7 linked regions of the Callithrix jacchus genome follow. The protein of the gene in region 7 interacts with the protein of the main gene of each other region in a pairwise test. Links are inferred from orthologs where the notes say so. Each region holds a gene or a part of one and is shown on either strand. Other genes may lie near its edges. The genes, in order: MORN4, CARD9, GEM, UBQLN1, TROAP, BAG1 and TRIM23.

Region 1 (4,022 bases), on a different chromosome or scaffold from region 7:
CTGCTACCTGGAGGCGTCTCTGCATAATAAAAACCTTGGTTTTCACAACTTGTGGTTTCTGCAACTCTGTGTGTGTGTGTGTGTGTGTGTGTGTGCATATCTTAGTAACAACCTCCTTAATTTAATCCAGACATTCCCTTCTTTGGGTTCCAGGTCTTAGTCTTTCAACAAATTGCCAATCAGCACATCTTTGAATCCACCTACATCCTGGAAGCTGCCATCCCCAGACCCCTTTTGGGACCAAGCCAATGTATATTTTACATGTATTGATTGATGTTTTATGTCTCCCTAAAATGTATAAAACCATGCAGTAGCCCAACTATTTTGGACACGTGTTCTTAGGACCTTCTAAGGCTGTGTCACTCTCATATCCTTAACATTGGCAAAATAAACTTCTAAATTGATTGAGACCTGTCTCAGATACTTTTTGGTTTGCAATTTATGTATGTATTTATTTGAGATTGCTAGGTTGCCCAGGCTAGGGTACAGTGGCAGGATCATTGCAGCCTCATCCTCCTGGGCTCAAGGGATCCTCCCACCTCAGCCTCCTGAGTAGCTGGGACTACAGCCACCCACCACCAGGCTGGGTAATTTTTTTTTTTCTGCAGATACGGAGTCTCCTGTATTCCCCAGGCTGATCTGGAACTCCTGGGCTCAAGCAATCCTCCTGCCTCGGCCTCCCAAAGTGCTAGGATTACAGATGTGAGCCACTGCGCCTGGCCAGGTACTATATTTTAAACACAAAGGATCTAGGTAATGACAAGGACAGCACGAATTCCTATAATGAATGCAAACGTGTCTCGATATCACAATGTCTGGCACAGAGTTATTGGAGGCTGTTCTGTCCAGCGCGTTACAATTTACAAAGCTGCTTCTCTGAAGCTGGATTTAGAATCTGCCTTAAACTCCGCGGCGGGGCCTTTGACAGCAGTAGGGACTGGAGCAGGATCAGAGCCGTTAGCGTTGATGGTCACTGTTGCTTCGGGCGCAGGTATGGTTTTCTCTGGGTTGCCATTTCAACTAGACGGCCTCTGGTAGACCAGACCTCGATCCTCTGTCTTTATCTGCTTTGCAGAGGTGGGACCATCTCTCTTGCACAAAGTCAGCCCCGGCTCGCAAACACTCCGCCCCGCACAAAGATGGCGCGGAGACGGGCTGGGCCAATGGAGTGTGGCGTTGCTCGCGGTTGCCTAGGTAACAGCCAATGGGCAGCGGGGATTGTGCCCAGTGCGGTGGCCGGGATGGCGGTGTCAAGTGGGGCAAGTGCTGGTGGAGGTGGCAGAGAGCAAGGTGGCAGCCGGGAGCCCAGGAAAAGTCCGAGGCGCTGGAGCCCTGCGTCGAGGCGTGACGGTCATCCCGAAAGGCCGGCCCCAGGTTGGCTGCAGGCGCGGCGCGGGAGGGAGGGTGCCGAGACAGACTGTAATCGGCCAGGTGGGCATTGAGGAACTAGCACGAGATGACCCGGCTGGGGGGCGCGGTCCATCTCGGATACGCTGACCCGAGGGCAGCTGCCTGTGTGGGACACAAACCTAGACCCTTTAGTCTCCACCGCGGGGGTCGAGGCCCAGAAGAGTCCACGGCAGTCGGGTTGGCGCGCAGGGGCTGCGAGGCTGAGTCGGGGAATGGCAGACCCGTGTGAGCGTTATACCTGCCAGGCGGGAGAGCGGGCCCGGGTAGCGGAAAGGAGCCTGGCTGGAACGCGAAAATGGGGCGCGAGAGGGTGTTGCTTTGTTGTGGTCTAGGGCTTTGTTTTCCCAGGGCCCGCCTTTGTCGCACTGGTGGAGAGAACTCCCACATATGGAAACCTGGGGAAGGGGTTGCTTTAATTTGTTGATGGGTGGTATTCCTGCAGTCTAGCATCTCTGAACTGCTTAGGTACCAGCAGGAATAACTGCTGTAACGGAGCCCAGCCCAGGCATTCCTTTTCCCCTGAAATAGGATAGGATTCTGGCAGTGTTGCTCCCTAGTCCCAATTGCCCCCAGGTCATCATCGCCTTTTTTTTTTTTTTTTTTTTTTTTAACATTCTTTTTGGCGCCAGTATCTTCTTCCCACTTTCTTCAATTAGCAACGATATACATTTGTTTACTTTTCACAAGGGGAAAGAGGAGGTTAGACTTATAATAAAAAACAGTTATTTCGAGCTCATTTTAAACACTTGAAAAAGAATATTTAGCCTGTAATCCCAGCACTTTGGGAGGCCGAGGTGGGCGGATCACCTAAGCTCGAGAGTTCGAGACCAGCCTGACCAACATGGAGAAATCCTGTCTCCACTAAAAATACAAAATTCGCCTGGCATGGTGGCTCATGCCTGTAATCCCCAGTTTCTTGGGAGGCTGATGCAGGAGAATCGCTTGAACCCAGCAGGCGGAAGTTGCCGTGAGCCAAGATTGCTCCAGGCGGGGTGAGGTCAAGAGATTGAGACCATCCTGGCCATGGTGAAACTCTGTCTCCACTAACATAAAAAAAATTAACTGAGCATGGTGGCATACCTGTAGTCCCAGCTACTCCCGAGGCTGAGGCAGGAGAATCGCTTGAACCCGACTGGCGCAGATTGCAGTGAGCCCAGATTGGGCCACTGCACTCCAGCTTGGTGACAGAGCAAGACTCCGTCTCAAAATAAATAAATAAATAGAATAGTTGACTTTTTGTTCGAGGTTCCTAACAATGCTAATTTTTGTTTATCAAAGCCTCCATTTTCTCCTCTTTAAGATTCTAAAAGCCTATGAACTGCTTTCTTTATTACTGAAGTAATTTGACAAGACTATTGTACCCTGGGAAGGGTGGTTTTGTGGGGACAGTGTGAAGGTATATGTGGGTAGTTAGGGTGGCTGCCTCCAAACAATATTCTCTAACTGGATCTCCCCACACCACTGCCTCAACTTTTTTTTTTTTTTTTTTTTTTTGAGACAAGGTCTGGCTCTGTTGCCCAGGCTGGAGTGCAGGTGTGGTGCTGTCACTGCTCACCACAGCCTCAAATTCTGGGCTCAAGCAGTCCTCCCACCTCAGCCTCCTGAGTAGCTGGGACTACAGGCATGCACCACCACATCTGGCTAATTTTTTTTTTTTTTGGTAGAGATGAGGTCTCACTACATTTCCCAGGTTGGTGTTGAACTCCTGGGCTCAAGCAATCCTCTTGCCTTGGCCTCCCAAAGTTTTGGGATTACAGGAGTGAGCCACCAGGCCTGGCCCTGTTCCTCTTTATGTTATTTTTTTTTTTTCTTTTAAATCCTCTTAAATTGGACACAGGTTACTGTGAATACAAAGTGTTCTTTAATAAGTTGATTTCTTAAAATTAGAAAAAGATAAAAAGAATGGAAACAAAAATTCTCATTACTGTCTCAGAGTTCTGTTTGGAAATAAGAAAATAAAAAAAGAAAGGTCTGGGGCAGAAGAAAATAAAAGTAGCAAGAATGTGGTCTATAGTGCAGACTAATAGTGTATTGGTTTATAGGGACATAATAATAATTTTCTTTTTCTTTTCTTTTTTTTTTTTTTGAGACGGAGTTTCACTCTTCTTACCCGGGCTGGAGTGCAATGGTGCGATCTCGGCTCACCGCAACCTCCGCCTCCTGGGATCAGGCAATTCTCCTGCCTCAGCCTCCTGAGTAGCTGGGATTACAGGCATGCACCACCATGCCCAGCTAATTTTTTGTATTTTTAGTAGAGATGGGGTTTCACCATGTTGACCAGGATGGTCTTGATCTGTTGACCTCGTGATCCACCCACCTCGGCCTCCCAAAGTGCTGGAATTATAGGTGTGAGCTACTGTGCCCGGCTTTTTTTTTTTTTTTTTTAAAGATGGGGTTTCACCATGATGGCCAGGCTGGTCTTGAACTCTTGACCTCAGATGATCCACCCACTTCGGCCTCCCAAAGTGCTAGGATTACAGGTGTGAGCCACCACGCCCAGCCAGTAATTTTCTTTTATGTAAATGTTTGGACTGATCTTTCGCAACCCATCTGTCAGGAGTGCAGAAAGGGTGGGTGTCTGTTTAGAAGTGTGAATCATCTTGGCTTGTGAC
Region 2 (3,145 bases), on a different chromosome or scaffold from region 7:
CCCCTCCCCCCCTTCCCCTCCCTGCCATCTTCTTCCTTCCTTTCTCTTTCTTTTTTCTTTTCTGCTTTCTTTTTTTTTTTCTTTTTTGAGCCAGAGTTTCGCTCTTGTCACCCAGGCTGGAGTGCAATGGCGCAATCTTGGCTCGCCGCAACCTCTGCCTTCTGGGTTCAGGCAATTCTCCTGCCTCAGCCTCCTGAGTAGCTGGGATTACAGGCACGCCACACCATGCCCAGCTAATTTTTGTATTTTTAGTAGAGACGGGGTTTCACCATGTTAACCAGGATGGTCTCGATCTCTTGACCTCGTGATCCACCCGTCTCAGCCTCCCAAAGTGCTGGGATTACAGGCTTGAGCCACCACGCCCGGCCTCTTTTTTGCTTTCTTCCCTTCCTCCCTTCCTCCCTCTTTCTTTCTTTTTTTCCCCTTTAACATGGATCATAGGAAAGAACCTTTTTTTTTTTTTTTTTGCTTTTGTTTTATGAAAATGGAAGCCTTCTGTCTTGTTTTACCAGTAGCTTTTTTTTTTTTTTTTTTTACTTTTAATTTGTCTTACCAGTAGCTTTTTTTAATCTTGAAAAACAATCTTGGCTGGATGGGGTGGCTCAACCCTGTAATCCCAACAGTCTGGAAGGGCGAGGTGGGTAGATCACTTGAGGTCAGGAGTTTGAGACCAGCCTGGCCAGCATGGTGAAACGCTTTCTCTACTAAAAATACAAAAATTAGCCAGGCATATTGGTGGGCACCTGTAATCCCAGCTACTCAAAAGACTGAGGCAGGAGAATCACTTGAATCCAGGAGGCGGTGGTTGCAGTGAGCTGAGATCGTGCCACTGCACTCCAGCCTGGGTGACAGAGTGAGGCTCCATCTAAAAAAAAAAAAAAAATTTGACATGGTGGCCCACGCCTGTGGCCCCAGATATTTGAGAGGCTGAGGCGGCAGCAAGGACAGGGCTGTGTCTGCTTCCCAGGTCCCGTCCCAAGTCCCATTCTGAGGTTGTTTCTGATGGACACCATTGCTGCTTCAGCGAATGCTGGACTGTGGTTTGCCTGAATCAGGAGCCTTAAAACGAGACCCCTGGGGCCATAAAGGAAGCCCCTGCCCCCGAGAGAGAAGCTCAGGCTTGGAGCTCCTGTAGGGGCCCCACCACAGCCTCACTCACACCTAGCCCACCCCAAGTTGGAGAAGAAAGGGCAGGTTCAGCTGTGCTGCGTGGGGGTTGGGGCTGCTCCCGAGACAGGACCTCCCTTGGGGCTGTGCAGGGAGGGGGAGTGGGCAGGGATTAGGGAAGCTGAGTGGGCAGGCGTTAGGTGAGGCCCTCTCAGCCTCTGCTGCGTGGGTGGTCAGGCCGTCTTCTGTCTGCATGTTTGCTCCTGTGCCTCAGCGTCTGCGGCAGGGACAGGGATGGTAAAGCATGCTGCGTTCATGAAGGAGTTTTAGCTATGGAGGGTCAGGTTCTCCATATCAAGCTGCATCCAAAATTCATCCCGTGTGCATGTGTAGGGGTGCATAGCACACGCTGTGTCCACCGGGGGTGCAGGCATGGGAGGAGACAGAGGAGGGCTGCAGGGCCTATTCTGAGGGTGAGCCTTCCTTATATTGTTTTAAGTGTCACCTTTACAATCCCTCAAATGCTGGCTTCATGTCCGCAGAGCACAAAAAGGGAGGGACTGGGGCTGGCCACTGCAGCCAGCGGCTGGATGTCCTCGGGGCCTGTGCTGGGAGTTGGGTGGTCAGGCTAAGGACCCAGGGTGAGCTTGGGGCCTCACTGAGGGTTGGTCTTGCACTGTCCTGTCAGGCCATCGCCACACGGGAGGAGCTGCACACCCTGCACGCCCGGGGCCTTCAGGAGAAGGACGTGCTGCGCAAGCACGTGCGGGAGCTGGGCGAGAAGGCTGATGAGCTGCAGCTGCAGCTGTTCCAGCGTGAGGCGCAGCTCCTGGCCGTGGAGGGCAGGCTCAGGCGGCAGCAGCTGGAGATGCTCGTCCTGGTGGGCCTGGTGCATGGGGCAGGGAGGGGAGCTGAGGGGGTACAGGGCTCGGGGAGCATGGAGCCTCAGGATACCCTGGCCCTGGCCTTCCTTACCCAATCCTCCTCTGTGATGGGCCCCAACCTAACGGAGCCCCTCCTCGAAGGGGGGTGAGGGCAGAGGGGCAGATTGGGGCCCCAGTAGGAAGTGGGCTGCAGGGCTGGGGTGGGGCCTGGGCCTGGCCATCAGGTAGCCTAGCAGGTGGTTCTGTTCATGGAGGGGGTTGTTGTGGCTGAGGGCATGCCCAGGGCCCCCCGGAGGATCCCACTCTTGTTCCCTGTCCACTCCATGTCTGGGGAGCCCTAGGCCCTCACAGCCTGCCTACTCACCCCATTTTCTATGACCGCAGAGCTCCGACCTGGAGGATGGCTCACCTAGGAGCTCCCAGGAGGTGAGTGAGACCCCAGCCAGCATAGGGCTGCCCCTCCTTCACCTGAGCTGCCACCAGGCATAACCCCACACTTCCCGTCACATGGTCCTCCTTGGTGGCCAGGCTGGGTGGAGGAAGAGCAAGCAGCCACACACTAAGGCCTCCGACAGCTCAAAGGGTAAGGACAGTGCCCACCTCCTGGCACCCTCATGGCAGGACCTTCCTGGCTGGGTGCCTGAGTCGCTGAGAAGCTCTGTGCAGGGGGTGACAGCGATGGCCAAGAGCTGGGGTGGGCAGTGTGGCCAGGTCCAGTCCCTGGCAGAGGGGCCTAACAGGACATCTCGCTTCTCTTCCGAAGCTCTCGCTCCCCCAGGACCTGGAGGAGGACACCCAGCTCTCAGACAAAGGTGAGGAGGTGATGGCTGTGCACCCGGAGGCCTCCCAGCTGCCCCAAGCGAGGCCCATCTTCAGTGCAGGCAGCCGTGCGTGACACACGCCTGTCTCGGCCTCTACCACCCTCACTCCACAGATGGGGAAGCTGGGGCTGGGGGATAAGTAAAATGGACATGGCACCCAGAGAACAGACCAGAGTCCAGTTGGAACCCAGGGCCCTGGTTGGTGGGACAAGTGTTCCCTGTGGTGGGGAGTGTGGTGCCCCTTAGGGCAGCCCCCACGGTGCAGAGTCCTGCCTGCTCCAAGCTTCCTCTTGGGCAGAGAGAGGTGGCAATGAGCAAATGCCCAGGTGCACG
Region 3 (3,376 bases), on a different chromosome or scaffold from region 7:
AAGGCATCTGAGCTGCGAATCCAGCTCCGCAGGGCCCGGCAGACAGAGGACATTCCCATCATTTTGGTTGGCAACAAAAGTGACTTAGTCCGGTGCCGGGAAGTGTCTGTATCAGGTAAGAGGAGTAGAGCCAGTACCGTAGAAACAATCTCTGGGCCACGTGTGTTTTCCTTTGGTCAAGGGCTCTTCCTTCCTTCTGGGAGGCTGGATCCAGGAACTCATTAAGATGCTATATGAAATTTTAGGTGTATTTCTAAGTCTCCTACTGCTGCAATGGGTCTCCTCCACACTGGTTGCTCTCCCTTGTCCATGTGGTCTACCTGCAGGGTGCTAATCTTCCTGCTTCCAAGCGGTTTCCTGGAATTCCCAAGAGTACAGGGAAATGAAAGGAGCTTCTTCATGCAGGAAGGATAGGAAACTCTGATTTAGGAGAACCATGAGAAAGAGTTTCATTGAAGAAAAAGAATTCTACTCTGGCTGACTCTGGTCCCTGTACACCCTAGAAACACTGTCCTACTCCGCATCCCTGGCTTCTGAAATTTCAGTTAAAGCATCAGTCTGATGGTGTCACATATTCTTCTTCATACTTAGTTCAGGGAAAATCTCTGTCTGCTGAGCGGGCACCCAGGTGCTTTTACAGCCCTTGAGATTTTACTGGCCTAATTCAGACTTGATCCCTGATACAATTATAAAAATAAAATACTGCATTGCCAGGCACTGCTCAGGAGGAAAGACCACGTACATGCTAATAGAGGCAATGTACACATTAGTTTGGGAATGTCTTCCTACTAGGAACAACTGTCGACAGTATTTTCCCAAACCAAATCTTGCTGCATGATCATTAAACACAATGAAATATTTGAAATTGAGAATTGAGACTGTCTCAGAAAGGCTTGTATAATTTGCTCTAATTGAATTACACATTTGTAAAATTCTCAATTTTTTCCAAAGATATCTCATCATTGCTTTTTTTTCAGGAGAGGAAAGCCAAATAGTAGAATTCTTATTCTCAATTCAGGAAACTGGGTCAGGAGAAAGAGTTAAGAGTATGGGCTTGAGAATGGAGCAGGCCCGGCATCACTGCCACTTACAGGCTGTGTAAACTTCACCTGCAGGGGGCTCCCCTTGGTTTCTTCATGTATTTGATGGGGCTAGTAATGTATTTTCCAAGATTGTTGTGGACATTGAAAACAGTGTTTACAAAGAACTAAGCCTTGTTTTTGGCACATTGTAAGTCTGCAGTAAATTAAGGCTATGGCTTTTACTGTTATAACTAATATCACTGTATTTGATGAAATGGAACCTTCAGACAGTGAATTCGTTGTGGACCAGGTCTAAAGCCCATAGTGCTTGCTTCCAGGGATCCTCCAGTGAGATATTTTCTATTCATGCCCTGGGAAGGCCCATGCCACAGTGGCGTCCTCTATCCACTGCATATATGACTGACTTAGTGTTACCTTGAAGAACCATCCAGCTTGACTGTGTGCTGTGCAGGACTGTGCTCTGCAGCCCCTCTGACCTCTTTCCCTTCCTTTGCTTCCCAGAAGGAAGAGCTTGCGCTGTGGTGTTCGACTGCAAGTTCATCGAGACCTCTGCGGCTGTCCAGCACAACGTGAAGGAGCTGTTTGAGGGCATCGTGCGGCAGGTGCGCCTTCGGCGGGACAGCAAGGAGAAGAACGAGCGGCGGCTGGCCTACCAGAAGAGGAAGGAGAGCATGCCCAGGAAAGCCAGGCGCTTCTGGGGCAAGATTGTGGCCAAAAACAACAAGAATATGGCCTTCAAGCTCAAGTCCAAATCCTGCCATGACCTCTCTGTGCTCTAGGAACCGAGAGTTACCCAAATGTCCCTTTGATGGACATTGTTGAAGGCCATTGGGACTAATAATCTATATTAGATTGGATACTTAAGTATTGTTAGATGTGGTTTCCCCCATTGTAGCAGGGAGCTAGTGTATTAGCCTCTTGGGCCACATGATGCATGGGAAATGAAAGATCTTTGTAAAGAGTCAGTATTTATTTCCAGGAAAAGCCTGACCTTGCTATTTGAACATCCAAGACTCATTAGAGGATGTGTTTGGTGTTCTCATGTGTTTCTTCTCTTTTGGATAGTAGAGAAGTAAAGCTTACAAAGAATGCCTAGAACAAGAACTTTTCATCATTAAAATTTTGCCCAGTGTTCTGATATGTGACTTTGAGGCCATTGGGTCATAAACAAATATAAGAAAGCTGTCAATGAGTTTATTCAAAGGGGGGAAAACTTTCTATGTATCTAAGATCCTTGGAGCTAGAATTGTAGAACTAAGCTCATCAGAATCATGACTATTACTGCTCCATCAAACTGTGAAAAGAAATGATGTGGACCTTGCTGGAAACTGAGGCTTAGCAAACAGTTTTTTTCAATGTCCACCAATACTTGTAGAATTGGGAACTGATACATGTACCCTTATAGGCTCAAAAATTATATATCTTACAATTTCTTATTTAGGGGTAAATTATTTGAATCAGATTCTATTTTGTCAAACCACCTTTTATGTTTTGTTATTTTTGAATTCATGGAGCCATCATAAAAATCAGAATTATTGATACCCTAGAGTGTAAAATGTCAATTTTTAATGTATAATTCAAAGTCTGAATTTTTATAAAACATATAGCATAAAAAATTCCAGTACTTTGGTTGACCCTTGTATGCCACAGCTCTGCTCTATTTATTATTATTTTGCAAAATAATCATTTTAACATTTGATAAAGCATATTTATGAACATATTTCTTAATAAGAAAAATATCCATTTTATTACCATTTTCTATCTTTTTCAAAATATGCAAGTTTTTACCTATATGTCTTATAATAAAAGAAATAAAATATTTGGAAAAAGGCATTCTTGATTGATTTTCCTCCCAAGCAAGATGATTAAGATTATTCTTCTGCAGCCTTTAGAGCAAGCACATATGGTATATTCCAAAGAGACATATACCTATTGTTTTTTTTCCTTTTCTCACTAGCAATAGCCCAGTAATCATCTGTTTTAAAGAGTATCCCTGACAGCTCTGCTCTGAAATCACAATTCATGATAATGCAAAGTTATTTTTGGCTGATACCATTGGAAAGTATTTGGGGTTATCTCAATGCTAAGTTATAGGAAAAGCCAGATTGACCTTTTATTTTGGTCTGGCACATGCCTGACTGAACAGATGGGCCTCACTTTGCTCCCTGGAGGCTCATGGTCTTCAGCTTGACTAAGGCATTAGAGGAAGTTATAAAGGATAAGGGGGAAATAAAATAAAGGAGACTAGTGATTTCCAGCCTGAGATCTAGCCAGGCAAAGCTTTCACCAAATTCTCCCCTCTGACATTAATACAGCTTGACATTAATCACTTG
Region 4 (3,500 bases), on a different chromosome or scaffold from region 7:
TTTGTTTTTTTTAAAACAAACTTTCAGCTAGTATGTTCAACACTCCAGGAATGCAGAGCTTGTTGCAACAAATAACTGAAAACCCACAACTTATGCAAAACATGTTGTCTGCCCCCTACATGAGAAGCATGATGCAGTCACTAAGCCAGAATCCTGACCTTGCTGCACAGGTGAGTTTGTATTTGCATTGAAAAGGACTGTGCAATGTGAACCTAATCTAGTAATTGTGATTTTGGCACATTTGTGTTGTGTATGATATCTTAATGTACTAGAAAAGTAAGTAAACTGTGTCTCCAATTTTTTTAGACCATGTGTTTCTTTGTAGTAATTAAATACTTCATATATAATTAAAACAACTTTATCTCTGTCATTCATTGACTAGAAAGAGGTATAGGTTTACTTTGTTTCTACATATGTTGAGTTAGGAGACAAGTACAAAGTGCTGTAATGCCCTCTCTTTTGAAGATACACTATTTAATGAAATGTTAATCTTGAAAGCAAGTAATAGCAGTGTTAATACATTTGAAATAGTTTTATTTAGTAGATCACTAAGATTATAATAGTCATGCTCAAAATGGCAGTTGTAAAATAGCAGGAAGTCTTTATTAAAGATGGGAATTTGTCAAAACAATGTTCTCATTCTTTCAACTATTGATTCCCCTGCTGAAGATAGTATGCTTATCCCTTATTAATGTATTCCTTTTTCTAATTTGTTTCTAAAGAGACTAAAACTAAGAAAATTAGGGGATCTCAAAGTTTGCTGAACTTTCAGGAACACTTGGGAAGCTTTACAGACAGTTCTGATGCTTTGGCCCCATCCTTAGAGATTTTGATATAATTGCATCTGAAAACCCCTTCCCCCTCAAGTTCCCTAGGTACTGTCTAGGTTCCATACCATAGGGCTTAAGAAACCACGGAGAATGAAATAAACCTTGATCATCTGTAGTTTATATTTGCTGTTTATTAGAAACAACTGCTGTAGTGTGTCAGGAATTTGAAACACTTTATAGTTAATCCCATTCCTTAAATTTTAAAAGTTTTAAGTCAAATGAATGGTTTTTATTTTCTAAATTCTAGAAGTATATTGATTCAAGTATCTTCGATGTATAATTCTCAGCCCTCACCAAATTTGTGGAATTGGAAATAATACATTTTAAGAAGAATTTTTGTGTCTTTGATTTTGTTTATTGGAGGTACATTTTATGGAAAATTGATTTATTCATATGAAACTTATCAGACTGAGTTGTTAATGGCTTAGTTTACTGTAATAGCCATTTTAAGTGTGTATTTGGCTAATACTGAATGTGCATCGTACTTTTAAAATTTGACTTTAACAAGCACATGCCTAGCAATTTTTAATAATATTATAGTAGTAAAGTGACTTGAGCACTCACATACTGTTTTTTTTACTCTAAAGCAAAATGCTGCTAATACTAGATTGGCATGTCTTATTACACATAATTTAGAAAACTATTACAACGTTCTTATTATCAACAGATTAAAATGTGTGGTTTTTCTATTTTGAGTTTTAAATATTTACAAAGAGTCTGGAGTGTAAACTTGTGGTATAAGCACTCAGGTAAGTTATAAGAAATACCCTAATGAATGAGATGATCATCTGCGAATGAATACATTTAAGATGACATGCTTTTTTAAGATTAAATAAAGTAACTCCCAAAAGATATGTGTGATAACCTTGTTAATATGTTTGTAATAAAGAAGTATTTAACTGGAACCACTACAGAAGCGGGTTTCTTGACCTTAAGCAGGTATTACTTTCTGTGAACTTATTGGTCATTTTGAAATAAATATGTATGTTCCTGCAAGGTCATCTGACTTCTCCTTTGGTTATTATATTAAAATTAACTAAAAGATCCACTTTGCAAGAATTGGGGCAAATTTTCTCTACCAGCATTTACATTGGTCTTAAATACGGTTAACTACTTGAGGGTGAGGATCATTTCCTCCCCAGACTTTGGATAGGTAAATAGGCTATCAGTAAATCCTTGCTAGTTGACTTTTTACTCTGGGGAAAATGATATAAAGTGTGTCTTTTGACGCTATGAGAATTTATTAGTTTCTGGTTATGCTGATTGTGTATTTTAATCTTATTTTCAGGTATATGACATCATACTAATACTGATTCTGATTTTTAAATTCTAAACATTTATTTGAAGGTTAGGAGATGCCACTTTTCTCATCTCTGGTGGTAGTGAGGTGAAATCCAGATGCTAATCTTGGTGTTCTCAAATGGATTTACATCTTTTAGGTCTTAAATTATTTTAATACTTTCCCCAGAGGACTGTTGGTGCTAGGCCTGGCTGATTTTCACCTAGCAGCTCCATTTCTCTGGCAAGTTGGTTGCTGTTTTGTGGTGTTATTTTTTTGGACCTAATATTAGCAGTTTTGTAGTAGGCAGGTAGATGTAGTGGTCCTTTTCAGATCTGGATTTTCTCGTGCTTGCCACTTGTGTGTTGAGGTTTCTAAGCAAGCCATGTTACATAGTTTCATGTATTGATGTTTATGTTTATTCTGTCAGTGTAGTAGAAAATATATCTTCATGAATGCCAGTTACTCTCATTTTTCTTTCAATGGCAAGTATTGACCTTTGTTCAAGGAAAAGCCTAAGAAAATGATTGCTTTTATTTTTTAGGATATTGCATGTCATTACCATAACCACCATTCTCATTGAGAGAGAAGATGCATCGCTTTTGTTTTTGTTGTTCTGGAGATCCCTCTTGTGGACAGTATCTTCCCTTTTCCTTTTTTATTTATGTTCTACCTTCCTCCCTTTTAAGTGCCAGTTTAGGCACTTGGGGGAAGGTAGAATAAAACAAGGTACATTACTTGTTTCAGATATTTCCAGTAAAAATTGTTTGAACACTTGCCCCATAGATGATGCTGAATAATCCCCTATTTGCTGGAAATCCTCAGCTTCAAGAACAAATGAGACAACAGCTCCCAACTTTCCTCCAACAAGTGAGTAAGACAAGATGTTAGCTATCTTGGGTAATGATTTGCTTGAAAAAATTTGATGATGAACATTTTCCTTGTTCTTCTCTGGCTGATAGCAAAACATGGAATAGAGACTGATAATGCTGTCAATTCGTAGAGAATTCAGCCCTATCTTAACAGAGTCCCATTTCACTGCTGACTTTTTGCTTATGTTTCTCAAACATAAATTCTGAGGAAAGAACCATTTCGTTTTTGCTTTTGAGGACCTAGGATTTTGAATGCTTTGTTAATACCATAAACCATTTCCTTTCACTGTACTAACTTTGAAGTGCTTCCTTGTGTCATGTTACGCTTTATGGTTTAACTAATTTTGAGTAACAGGAAAGAGCTACCCTATTCTATTTTACAGGTTGTTTTCTTCCAAATTAATAGAATGCTTTTTTTCCCCAAGGGGTAGATCTCATTTCCTCAAACTCGGGATTAGTGATTAAAATGGTCAGTGTTGTCATATAAGGAAGGTTATGTTATAAACAAGTACTTGAGAT
Region 5 (3,959 bases), on a different chromosome or scaffold from region 7:
AGGGGTTGCTCCTTTCATCTTAAGGAGGATATTCTAGGATCTCTCAGCCTCCCAGCCCTGCCCACCAATAATCATCAGGTGAGCCCTCTCTCCCAAGACCTCTAGATCGGCAAAAGGCAACCTGGAGGCAAGGAAACCCCCAGCTGTGAGTAGCCATTCAATTCTGGTGCTGTGGTAACTGAGTTTAAAAACAATTAGTTTTGTTTCCTCTCCGTGAAATGAAGAAAACCTCACCAGACACCTCACTGGGTTCTGAGGCTCCAAGGAGCACATGTTGTTAGGCTCAGTTGGATTCCCTCCAGCCTTCTCTGCCCATTTGAAGGCAGTTCCTTATCCTGGAGACAACGTGAAGATGTTCTCTTTGTTTGTTTATTTGTTTATTTTAAAGACAGGGTCTCTCTCTCTCTTTCTGTTGACCAGGCTGGAGCGCAGTGGCGCGACCACAGCTCACTGCAGCCTCAACTTCCTGGGCTCAAAACAATCCTCCTGCCTCAACGTCCAGAGCAGCTGGAACTACAAGCGCACACTACTGCACTGGGACTATTATTACTTTGTTATTATATTTATTATTATTATAGAGACACGGGTGGGGGTGGTCTCACTATGTTGCCCAGGCTGGTCTCGAACTTATAGCTCAAGAGATCCTCCCGCCTTGGCGTCCCAAAGTGCTGGGATTACAGGACCAACGCGCGCGGACGCAGAGGTTTTCTATGAGCCTCTGGAATGGCGTTCCCAAAGCTTGGCGCCATGCCTTGGTCAAACCGGGTCGGGGGCTCGGGCCAGCCTGCAGCACCGTTAGCTGCAATCAGAACGATCAACTGTTCCCCTAATGCTGCGATGGCCCTTTGCTGCCAATAGTCGGCCCCTCGCCGGTCCCGAAGCATCGCGAGAACACAACCGCTCCGGCGGACTACTCTACTCAGAGGGCTACGCCTTTCCCGGCCTCAGAACAGCCCCATCCTTCCTCTTTCCCCGCCTTCCAGCCGCGCTCCGCTTTCGGATTGGCTGATTGAGCCGAGGCAGTTTTTTTTCCTGGCCAGAAAGTGGTTCGACAACTGGTCCTTCTTTTGGCCCTTCCTGCGAAGCCCGCGGATTGGACGGCTGATTCCGGCTACACGCGCCTCCGAGGGAGCGCGGCCGGGCCAATCAGGAGCTTGGCGTATTTTACAAACTGGGGAAGTAGCTGTAGCCTGCAGTAGCTGAAAGTCGAGGGAAAAGCTGAGAAGGCTGAGTCGGCTCTGAGGGGCTCTCGAGAAGGTGAGGCACAGGGTTCTTTGAGAGAACGAGGGCTGCTGGGCTCAGAGGGAGGAGGGCAGTTCGGGACCCGAGGGCGAAACAGTAGGCTCGGGGTGTCTGGAGGTAGCGCCCATTAGAGCGGTCTTGCAAGGGCCGGAGGCTTGTGGGAGCGGGGATTAGGGCAGAGGTATCAGGGATGGCAGGACAGGTGCCCCGAGGACTGGTTGATCTTTGATCTCCGATTCTGCCTGCCTTCTTCCCTGTCTCAATTGTAGCCATCATGACCACCCTGCAAGCCACGAAGGATCCCCTCCTCCGGGGTGTATCTCCTACCCCTAGCAAGATTCCGGTACTCTCTCAGAGACGCACGCCTTTACCCACTGTTACATCGCGCGTCTTGGACCAGGAGAACCAAGATCCAAGGGTAAGAGGGGCCTAGTAGGGGAAGACGATAGTCACACCAGTAATGTGCCCTAATTCTAAACCCCACCTTTTTGTCCCCCCTCCCTTCCCTAGAGATGGGTGCAGAAACAACCGCTCAATATTCAACACCCCCACGTTGATTCAGCAGGCTCCAGGCCGAAAGCCAAGCACCAAGCAGAGACATCACGAAGATTGGTGGGGACCACTCAGCATCGAAACCCCTTGGAGGAGCTCAGGCCTAGTCCCGGGGGTCAAAATGTGGGGCCTGGGCCCCCTGCCCAGACAGGTACCTGTTGGAGCCCTGGGACCACAGCCTCCATGGCTGAGTAGGGAACTAGGAAGAGTAAAAGTGGGGTTTTGGGATTTTGCACTCACTCCTGCTTACTGTAATAGTCCTGGTCCCAGTTCCTGGAAAGCTCTTTGCTCTTATAAGGCCTCGCTTTCCTCCAGCAAAATGTCATCTTGCCAGGTGTGATGGCTTGTGGCTGTAATCACAGCTACTCAGGAGGCTGAAGCTGATGGATCACTGGAGGCCAGGAGTGAGACCAGCCTGGGAGACAGAGGGAGATCCCATCTCTTAAAAAAAAAGAGTCAGCCGGGCGCGGGGGCTCAAGCCTGTAATCCTAGCACTTTGGGAGGCCGAGGCGGGTGGATCACTAGGTCAAGAGATCAAGACCATCCTGGTCAACATGGTGAAACCCCGTCTCTACCAAAAATACAAAAAATTAGCTGGGCATAGTGGCACATGCCTGTAATCCCAGCTACTCAGGAGGCTGAGGCAGGAGAATTGCCTGAACCCAGGAGGCAGAGGTTGCAGTGAGCCGAGATAGCGCCATTGCACTCCAGCCTGGGTAAGGAGCGAAACTCCGTATCAAAAAAAAAAGTCATTTCTTCTGAAGAGTTTTCCAGTTCCCCACATCATAATCAGTTGCTCTGTGTTCTCTTAATACTTTGCAGTACTTCTTTTATAACATGTATATACCTTGGCTTGAGTGTTATCAGTCTATAGTTTGATGATAGCTTCTTGAGGATAGGGGCTTTGTCTTATTCTTTTGGGGCCCCAGTGCTTAGAATAATGTCTTATGTAACATTTTACAAACATTTGGTGGCGAGGTGTGGTAGCTCACGCTGTAATTCCAACACTTTGAGAGGTCGAGGCAGTAAGATCACTTGAGCTCAGGAGTTTGAGTCCAACCTGGGCAACATAGTGAGACCCTAACTCTATTTTCTCTCTTCTCTTCTCGAGATAGTTTCACTCTATTCCTCAAGCTAGAGTGCCGTGGTGAAATCTGAGCTTACTGCAACCTCTGCCTTCCAGGTTTAAGCGATTCTCATGTCTCAGCCTCCCCTGAGTACCTGCCACCATGCCTGGCTAATTTTTGTTTTTTGTTGTTTTTTATTTTTCTGAGATGGAGTCTCACTGTCACCCAAGCTAGAGTGCATTGGCACTGTGTCAGCTCACTGCAAACACCGTCTCCTGGGTTCAATCAATTCTCCTGCCTCAGCCTCCAGAGTTGCTTGGATTACGGGTACCTACCACTCGCAGTTAATTTTTTTTTTTTTTTTGAAATGGAGTCTCTCTCTGTTGACCAGGCTGGAGTGCAGTGGCGCAATCGCGACTCACTGCAACCTCTGCCTCCCGGGTTCAAGCAATTCTCTGCCTCAGCCTCCCAAGTAGCTGGGATTACAGATGCCCACCACTACACCCAACTAATTTTTGTATTTTCACCATCTTGGCCAGGCTGGTTTTGAACTCCTAACTTCGTGATCCACCCCCTCGGCCTCCCAAAGTGCTGGGGTTACAGGCGTGAGCTATTGCACCAGCCAATTTTTATATTTTTAGTAGAGACTGGGTTTTACCATGTTGGCCAGGCTGGTCTTGAACTTCTGAACTCAGGTAATCTTCCTGCTTTGGCCTCCCAAAATGCTGGGATTACAGGTGTGAGCCACTGCACCCAGCCATCTATTTCTAAAAAAAAAAAAATGCCAAAATCAAGGTGAGTTTGCTAGGGTCCCTCTGCCCTCCCCTTTCTGTTCTTTCTCACCTTTCCTTCTCCTCTTTCCTTGCAGAGGCTGCAGGGGCCATAGAGTTTGTGGCTGATCCTGCAGCCCTGGCCACCATCCTGTCAGGTGAGGGTGTGAAGAGCTGTCACCTGGGGCGCCAGCCTAGTCTGGCTAAGAGAGTACTGATTCGAGGAAATCAGGGAGGCACCACCCAGAGGGGCCAGGTAATGAAACACGATGTGAGGGGACCAGGCTGGGGGCTCTTAGGGGGGCATCCTGAGCTGTGCTCATGGTCC
Region 6 (3,500 bases), on a different chromosome or scaffold from region 7:
CCTATTCAATTCTTTATATTAGAGATGGGGTACTAAAACCCAGCACAGATTAGGACTAGCTCAAGACCACATATTTCTTTTTTTCTCTCATTTTGTAACATTAATTGGTGTGTGTTTGTGTTTTGGCATTTATTTATTTATTATTTAGAGACAGAGTCTCACTCTGTCACCCAGGCTGGAGTACAGTGGCGTGATCTCAGCAGCTCACTGGCAACCTCTACCTCCCGGGTTCAAGTAATTCTCCTGCCTCAGCCTCGGCTCTGCCTGCCACCACACCCATCTAATTATTTTGTATTTTTAATAGAGATGGGGTTTTACCATGTTGGCCAGGCTGGTCTCAAACTCCTGAGCTCAAGTGATCTGCCTGCCTCAGCCTCCCAAAATGCTGGGATTATAGGAGTGAGCCACCACTCCTGGCCTATATGTTTGTGTTTTAACTACAGAATACATGCTGACTGTACAAAAGTTTTAAGTACATGTGTAGGCACTAATATGGAAAATAAAAATTACCCACGAGGCCCTAACTCAGAGATGACATTACCAAAGCCTGAAATGTATTTTTCATCTTAAAAAAATATTTGGTATAGGCCGGGCGCAATAGCTCACACCTATAATCCCAGCGCTTAGGGAGGCCAAGGCTTGTGGATCACCGAAGGTCAGGAGTTCAAGATCAGCCTGGCCAACATGGCGAAACCCCATCTCTACTAAAAATACAAAAATTAGCTGAGTATGGTGGCAGGCGCCTGTGATCCCAGCTATTTGGGAGACCGAGGCAGAAGAATCACTTGAACCTGGGAGGTGGAGGTTGCAGTGAGCCGAGATTGTGCCACTGCACTCCTGCCTAGGTGACAGAGAGAGACTTCCTCTCAAAAAAAAAATTTTGGGCCAGAAGGAGGATGGGAAGAAAAAAAACAAAAAAAAATTTTTTTTGCTATGTTATGTATGCTTTGTAAATTATTCTTTTATTGGATAAAAAATTAAACATTTTCTCATCTACTACTAAAAGAAAAAAAAATTAAACATTTTCCTGTGATGGTACTTTTCAAAGCTTGCATTTCATCTTATATAAATGTTTCATTTACCTTGCCAATTCTGTATTATTCATTATGTAATATTATTTTTAGTATTTTGTGTAATGCTTCTTTGAATATCCTTAGACATAAATCTTTTTTGACTGTTCTTGATTTTTTGGTAGAATAAATTCTTTGAGTTGAAATTGCTGGGTGATGTTTAAAGCTCTTGTTACATGTTATGAAATCTATATCTGTAGCTCTTGGCCGTGATAAACATCCTCAGAGATCCCTGCTATCCAGCAGGTAACTGGTCATTAGGCCAAGCTGTATGAATGAACCATTAGACAATTTAATAAAAGTAAGCACTGCTGCCATTCGTTAGCATGTGTCTGTGCCACAAGTTAATTACACATATACATATATTCCCTTTGCCTCGCAGTAACCCTCTAGGGTGTGGGTATTATAATCTTCTTTTTTTAAATGAGAGTACTGAGGCATGAATAGTCTTAAGTAATTTGTTCAAGAATACTTGTTAGTCAGTGGCAGTCGGGATTCATACCTAGGCTTTGAAGACTCTAAGCCTGTGCTTTTAACATCTGCCTCTTGTGTGCTGGTATACACTTGTGACTAGGGGCTTCACTGGAGCCAAGCCTCAGGAGGCATTTGCAGCCACAGTGCGTCATGTGAGGTAGAGCAGACTACAACCCAATAGAATTCTTAGACTGGCCCAAGGCCAGCCTTTATAATTTTTCCAAGAGATGAAGTTGTGGATCTGACATGTTACCTGGCCTGCCAGGGCTGTGTTGGACTCAGTGTGGTCGCTTCATTAGTATCGCAGCGTGGAATTTTCTATCAGCCTCAAAGAACCCTTGCAATAATGCATTATTCCCCCACAGGGTTTTCTGCCCAAGGATTTGCAAGCTGAAGCTCTCTGCAAACTTGATAGGAAAGTAAAAGCCACAATAGAGCAATTTATGAAGATCTTGGAGGAGATTGACACACTGGTAAGTAAATATTCAGCTGAGAAGAACTAGTTTTCTTTGACTTTCTTTCAGTCACTTTCACTCTTTCAATAATGTACTCTCCTATTGCCTGAGCAAACCCATCACTTGAGAATATTAAGCATATACTATTGTGTGCCATCACATTGCTAGGTCCTGGGTGAGTGCACAATAATAAGACAGTTCCTGCTTTCTAGGCACTCACAGCCCTCCAGCATAGGACTTTTATCATTTATACTTATGTTTGTCAGTAGCATCTCTAATCAACATGAAGCTGGGACCCAAGTAGTCCACAATCTCGTGGTCAAGGAAACAGAGGACTTCACTTTCTCTGCTCCTCATGTGACTGATCATTCTGCAGGGCTACTTACTTATAGAGGATTCAGCCAGACCCAGATCTTATCAGGCTGTTGAAAACCATTAACTCAGGTTCTCTTTTGCAGATAGTAGTATGATATTAGCCTGATGTTTCATTCTTGACGGTGACCTGTGCTGTGTGCTTCTGTTGGCCAGAGTTGTAAAGCAGCAGCAGCAGGCACTTTTCCTGTCACAGTGAGCCCACAGTCTGGCCAGGGCAGAGTATCCATACATAGGAAACAATAAAAGAACAAAGTCTGTGTTACAGATCTGTTCCTATGGCCCAGACGTTGAGAACAGAGGGAGCTTTTATAGGGACAAGAGCCATGGAAGGGCCATATGGGATACAGACCCAGGGAAGGCGTTCTTGAAAATGCACGTTTATTTACATTGGTGACCTGTGACCCGTTTTATGTACTGTGGGTGTTTCTTATGTGTTCTCATGTCATTTTCACTGAGGATTATTTATGTGTCAACTTACTCTTCCATAGATCCTGCCAGAAAATTTCAAAGACAGTAGATTGAAAAGGAAAGGCTTGGTAAAAAAGGTTCAGGTGAGTTGTGTCATAGTGCATGACAAAGTGTAATATGTTAATATGTTGGTATGTGTGTTTATCTGTTCAAAGTCGAGTAATATAGAAGGATGGTGTGTGGTATGTGCTTGTTTTGGTTATTGTTCATTTATCAGCAAGGACCCCAAACATCAGAGAAGAGCCCCCTATATCCCTATAATTATATTTGAATTTAAACTATTTAGGGAGGGAACTCACTGGAGAGCAGACAGAGTTGACACGTTACACAATTCCAGGAGGCAGTATTCATGCATACAGTGCCCCCTGCAATTGTTCAGTGGCCTCGCGGCAAAGCTTTTGTGGCCTTTCCCACCTTTTAGGGGATTGCTGGCCTAGAGCGTGGTCAGAGACCCTGGTCCTATGCTTCCTCCCTCCCCTTACCTTGGAGCCCAGGCTAGTTGCCCATCTCCATTCATGCACAGTCTGTTTTGGGTCTCAGTCATGGGTTCCCCAGAATGTCTAGGCAAAGAGCCTTGTGTGGGCAGTGGTTGGCTATCCCAGGATGGGCCCTCACTGCCCCATGTGTATTTTCTAGGCATTCCTAGCCGAGTGTGACA
Region 7 (3,500 bases):
TTGTTTTCTTAATTTCCTTTTTGGATTTTTAAGTATACAGAAATGCAACTGATTTTTGTTTTGATCTTATATCCTGAAATTTTGTTGACTGTATTCTTTTTTTTTCTTGATAGTTTCCTTTATTTTTCACTTTCAGAAACTGCCACCTTCACAACCACTACAACAACAAAAATTTATATTTGCCACAGCGAGAGCATAACTGATCACAGTTTCCCTGAATTCAAGTCACTTGAAGTCAGCTACTCAGTTTGGCTGACATTCTTTTGATGTTCAATATTGGTAATCTGAACATTATGTTAATCCTTCCTGATTTCTTCAATGAAATAGTTATCTCGCTGCAAACTACAATCAAATTAATATAGTTTGAAGTGTCAAAATATTTATTTCCATGACTGTATTCTTTCTAATAGGTGTTTTTGTGTGGATTTTTCAGGATTTTCTACATACGAGATCATGTCATCTGTGAAGAGATATACTTTTACATTTTCCTTTACAATTTAGATGTCTTTTATTATTTTCTTGCCTAATCGCTCTGTGGGCATCTTCTTGTTCTTTATCTTACAGAAAAAGCTTTCAGTTTTTTGAGTAACATGTTAGCTGTGGGCATTTTATATCTTGTGTATGTCACACTGAGGCAGTTTCCTTCTATTCCTAGTTTGTTGAATGTTTTTATTATGAAAGGGTATTGAATTTTGTCAAATGCTTTTTCTGCAACTATTGAGATGATTATGTGTTTTTTTAATCTCATTCTATGTATTACACTGATTGATGGTGAATAATTCTTGCCTTCCAGGTATAAAGCCCATTTGATCATGGTGTACCAAATGGTTTTTTGGTTGAGTTTACTAGCAAACTGAATTCAATGTGTTGTTGAATTCAGTTTGCTAGTATTTTGTAGTTTCCTCCTGGTTGCACCTCAGCCTCAACTATGTGGGGTATGGGGAAGGGCAGGGATGAGTGCACAGAATACCCTGAATTTTCTTACCCCTTTCACTGGAATGCCTTTTTGGTTTTATGGCCTGGTGCTGTAGCTTCTTAACTGTTCTCTAGAGTTCTCATAGAAGTAATTCTCTTCCATATATTGTTTCTGAGGTGTATAACTGGATTTAAGTATAGCTTTGGAGCTGTTGCGTAGATGGTAATTAAAGCTTGTGAAGAGAATGAAAATATGTAGAATGAGAAGGGGGCCTTATACAGACCCTCAAGAATACCAACATTTAAAAGGCAGATAAAGGAAAAATTAGGAGCATCCAAAAATGGGGTAAAACCAAACCTGGGAAATTTTGTATCATAAAAGCCAAGCAAAGAGTGCTCAAAGGAATAAGCAGAAATAACACATATATGTTGGCAACTGTTGTAAGGACTTTTCATTAAAAATTAATCCTTTCAAGAATCCTATGTAAATTTTGTATTATTTTAGTCCTCCTTTTATGAAAGAAGGGAAGCAGAGAAATCATGCAGCTAGTAATAAATAAAAATGTTCATTATAGTATTGTTTGTAATATCATAAAATCAGAAATTACATAAAATCTACCAGTTGGGGGTTTGATTAAATTGTGGTTTATGGAATGTAAAGAAGCCATTAAAAGAAAAAGGTTGGTCCATATGTATTGCAAGGATTATGTAATATACTGTTGAGTGAAACACATTAGTTGTAGAGTGTGGCTGATACTTTTTAAAGAAAGTTTCTTGTGTTTCTGTATGTTGGCCAGTATGTGCATGGGAAAGTATCTGGAGGGATATACATCAGATTCATAGTGAAAATTTTTGGGAATTGAGCGGCAATTTTCATTTTAATTAATTTAGCCCTATTGTAAGGTGTTTCAGTATAGCATAAAAACATGCTTAAATAAGATTTAAAGAGGTTTCATTTGAGTTAGAAAATCTGAGAAAATTAATTGTGTATATTCTGTTATACAAAGACAAACTGGTCAGTTTTACTGAGGAAAGATTTAGCCATGGGGAAGGAATTCATCTTAAGATAAAACTCAAGATTTTGAGGAATACAACTCAGATTGCAATGATTGAGGAATGAACAGGAAATGTAGAAATAATAAAGGTGCTAAATGCTATTACTTTATAACTGTATGTCAAATTAAAAATATTTTAAAATATTTAAATTATAGGATAATCGAGTTCACATTGGACCAAAAATGGAAATTCGGGTGGTTACATTAGGATTGGATGGTGCTGGAAAAACTACTATCTTGTTTAAGTTAAAACAGGATGAATTCATGCAGCCCATTCCAACAATTGGTAAGTATTAATACTGGTTTTTACCTTAAAGGGCATTTAATAGACAAACCCTAGCTTACAGCCGAGTTCTTGTGGTCTTATTTGTTACTAATCTGTCATGGTGCTGGGCTCTTTTCTGGCTCTAAGACATCAGCATCTGAGAGAAAAAATGCAAGATTGTGTGGCTATGGGAATGAAATGTGGTTGGGGATAAAAAGAAGAAACAGTATTGGTGGGACAGTTTGAAGGAATAGAAGATTGGTGATCCTGGCTGAGGGTGTGGGGATGGGGGCAGTAGTGCAACAGAGCTGGAAGATACATGGATCCCAAGGTCCTAAGGACCTTGGTGGAGGTTTAGAGGGCTAGCAGCTGTTACAGGTATTCACTCTCCATGTAGAAGTAGGAATGGGGTTGATTAGGCTTCAGTAGATATTGCTGCATATAGATAATTGATAAATCACAATTATACACTGGGGGATTGTCTGTGTTTGATGTGTCATTCATTGTAAATGTAAATATAGTATAAAAGTTAACTTTTTTTTTAAAACAGGTTTTAATGTGGAAACTGTAGAATATAAAAATCTAAAATTCACTATTTGGGATGTAGGTGGAAAACATAAATTAAGACCATTGTGGAAACATTATTACCTCAATACTCAAGGTGAGAGTTTAAAATGACATTTAATTTTTCACATTTTTAGGATGACAGTTTTCAGTGTACTGATTTGACTAGCAAAGCTGATATTTATGATTAAATCCTTGACTATACACTTAAGTGTTAGTGGCTAGTTCCTTATCTTGTAAAAAACAAAAGTAGAAAAATTAGCATATGTACTTTTAGTTTATTCCTGATAAACCATTATTACAGAAATAAACCAGATGTAGCTTAGAAACATAGGCAGTTAAGAGTATTCTCGCTTCTCTTAACAGAGAATGTATATTATCAGTATTATATGGGTGTGATTGCTGGCAATGTAGTGGTATAGAGTTGAGTTTATGGTGTATGATTCTGCTGTTCAATTCAGTTAAACTCAGCATTTATCCCATTATAATCTCACAATAGCCCCACTCCCACATTTCTCTCATAAATAGTTGTTACCTGCAAAAGAACTTACAGTGGCTTGCTTTTGACCAAATGGTATTATATCATATACTCTACATAGGTTTTAGTCACATTTGAGTTCTATTCTACACTTTTGCCTCAGAGACCCCAACCTAAAGCTTAGACTCATGCGTCCTATTCTGTATGTTATCCTGCTTTGTAC

Evidence for each region.
Region 1: the proteins of TRIM23 (region 7) and MORN4 interact in binary tests that used the Homo sapiens proteins (3 or more experiments, as listed by UniProt). The two-hybrid records come from large-scale screens. The link is inferred for Callithrix jacchus from reciprocal best matches to the Homo sapiens genes TRIM23 and MORN4.
Region 2: the proteins of TRIM23 (region 7) and CARD9 interact in binary tests that used the Homo sapiens proteins (3 or more experiments, as listed by UniProt). The two-hybrid records come from large-scale screens. The link is inferred for Callithrix jacchus from reciprocal best matches to the Homo sapiens genes TRIM23 and CARD9.
Region 3: the proteins of TRIM23 (region 7) and GEM interact in binary tests that used the Homo sapiens proteins (3 or more experiments, as listed by UniProt). The two-hybrid records come from large-scale screens. The link is inferred for Callithrix jacchus from reciprocal best matches to the Homo sapiens genes TRIM23 and GEM.
Region 4: the proteins of TRIM23 (region 7) and UBQLN1 interact in binary tests that used the Homo sapiens proteins (3 or more experiments, as listed by UniProt). The link is inferred for Callithrix jacchus from reciprocal best matches to the Homo sapiens genes TRIM23 and UBQLN1.
Region 5: the proteins of TRIM23 (region 7) and TROAP interact in binary tests that used the Homo sapiens proteins (3 or more experiments, as listed by UniProt). The two-hybrid records come from large-scale screens. The link is inferred for Callithrix jacchus from reciprocal best matches to the Homo sapiens genes TRIM23 and TROAP.
Region 6: the proteins of TRIM23 (region 7) and BAG1 interact in binary tests that used the Homo sapiens proteins (3 or more experiments, as listed by UniProt). The two-hybrid records come from large-scale screens. The link is inferred for Callithrix jacchus from reciprocal best matches to the Homo sapiens genes TRIM23 and BAG1.

What each region holds. Positions count from the first base shown.
Region 1 is NC_133513.1:90,442,125-90,446,146, reverse strand, and holds the start of MORN4 (MORN repeat-containing protein 4), read left to right. Parts: upstream 1-1,222; 5' UTR 1,223-1,431; intron 1,432-4,022. UniProt on the Homo sapiens protein: Plays a role in promoting axonal degeneration following neuronal injury by toxic insult or trauma.
Region 2 is NC_133502.1:184,840,937-184,844,081, reverse strand, and holds part of CARD9 (caspase recruitment domain-containing protein 9), read left to right. Parts: intron 1-1,795; coding exon 1,796-1,987; intron 1,988-2,375; coding exon 2,376-2,417; intron 2,418-2,754; coding exon 2,755-2,803; intron 2,804-3,145. UniProt on the Homo sapiens protein: Adapter protein that plays a key role in innate immune response against fungi by forming signaling complexes downstream of C-type lectin receptors.
Region 3 is NC_133517.1:32,950,508-32,953,883, forward strand, and holds the end of GEM (GTP-binding protein GEM), read left to right. Parts: coding exon 1-115; intron 116-1,544; coding exon 1,545-1,822; 3' UTR 1,823-2,876; downstream 2,877-3,376. UniProt on the Homo sapiens protein: Could be a regulatory protein, possibly participating in receptor-mediated signal transduction at the plasma membrane. Has guanine nucleotide-binding activity but undetectable intrinsic GTPase activity.
Region 4 is NC_133502.1:99,347,301-99,350,800, forward strand, and holds part of UBQLN1 (ubiquilin-1), read left to right. Parts: intron 1-27; coding exon 28-170; intron 171-2,895; coding exon 2,896-2,979; intron 2,980-3,500. UniProt on the Homo sapiens protein: Plays an important role in the regulation of different protein degradation mechanisms and pathways including ubiquitin-proteasome system (UPS), autophagy and endoplasmic reticulum-associated protein degradation (ERAD) pathway.
Region 5 is NC_133510.1:70,249,274-70,253,232, reverse strand, and holds the start of TROAP (tastin), read left to right. Parts: upstream 1-1,159; 5' UTR 1,160-1,257; intron 1,258-1,511; 5' UTR 1,512-1,516; coding exon 1,517-1,660; intron 1,661-1,752; coding exon 1,753-1,945; intron 1,946-3,729; coding exon 3,730-3,887; intron 3,888-3,959. UniProt on the Homo sapiens protein: Could be involved with bystin and trophinin in a cell adhesion molecule complex that mediates an initial attachment of the blastocyst to uterine epithelial cells at the time of the embryo implantation.
Region 6 is NC_133502.1:140,446,531-140,450,030, reverse strand, and holds part of BAG1 (BAG family molecular chaperone regulator 1), read left to right. Parts: intron 1-1,909; coding exon 1,910-2,017; intron 2,018-2,862; coding exon 2,863-2,925; intron 2,926-3,478; coding exon 3,479-3,500. UniProt on the Homo sapiens protein: Co-chaperone for HSP70 and HSC70 chaperone proteins. Acts as a nucleotide-exchange factor (NEF) promoting the release of ADP from the HSP70 and HSC70 proteins thereby triggering client/substrate protein release.
Region 7 is NC_133503.1:143,899,839-143,903,338, forward strand, and holds part of TRIM23 (E3 ubiquitin-protein ligase TRIM23), read left to right. Parts: intron 1-2,126; coding exon 2,127-2,256; intron 2,257-2,785; coding exon 2,786-2,896; intron 2,897-3,500.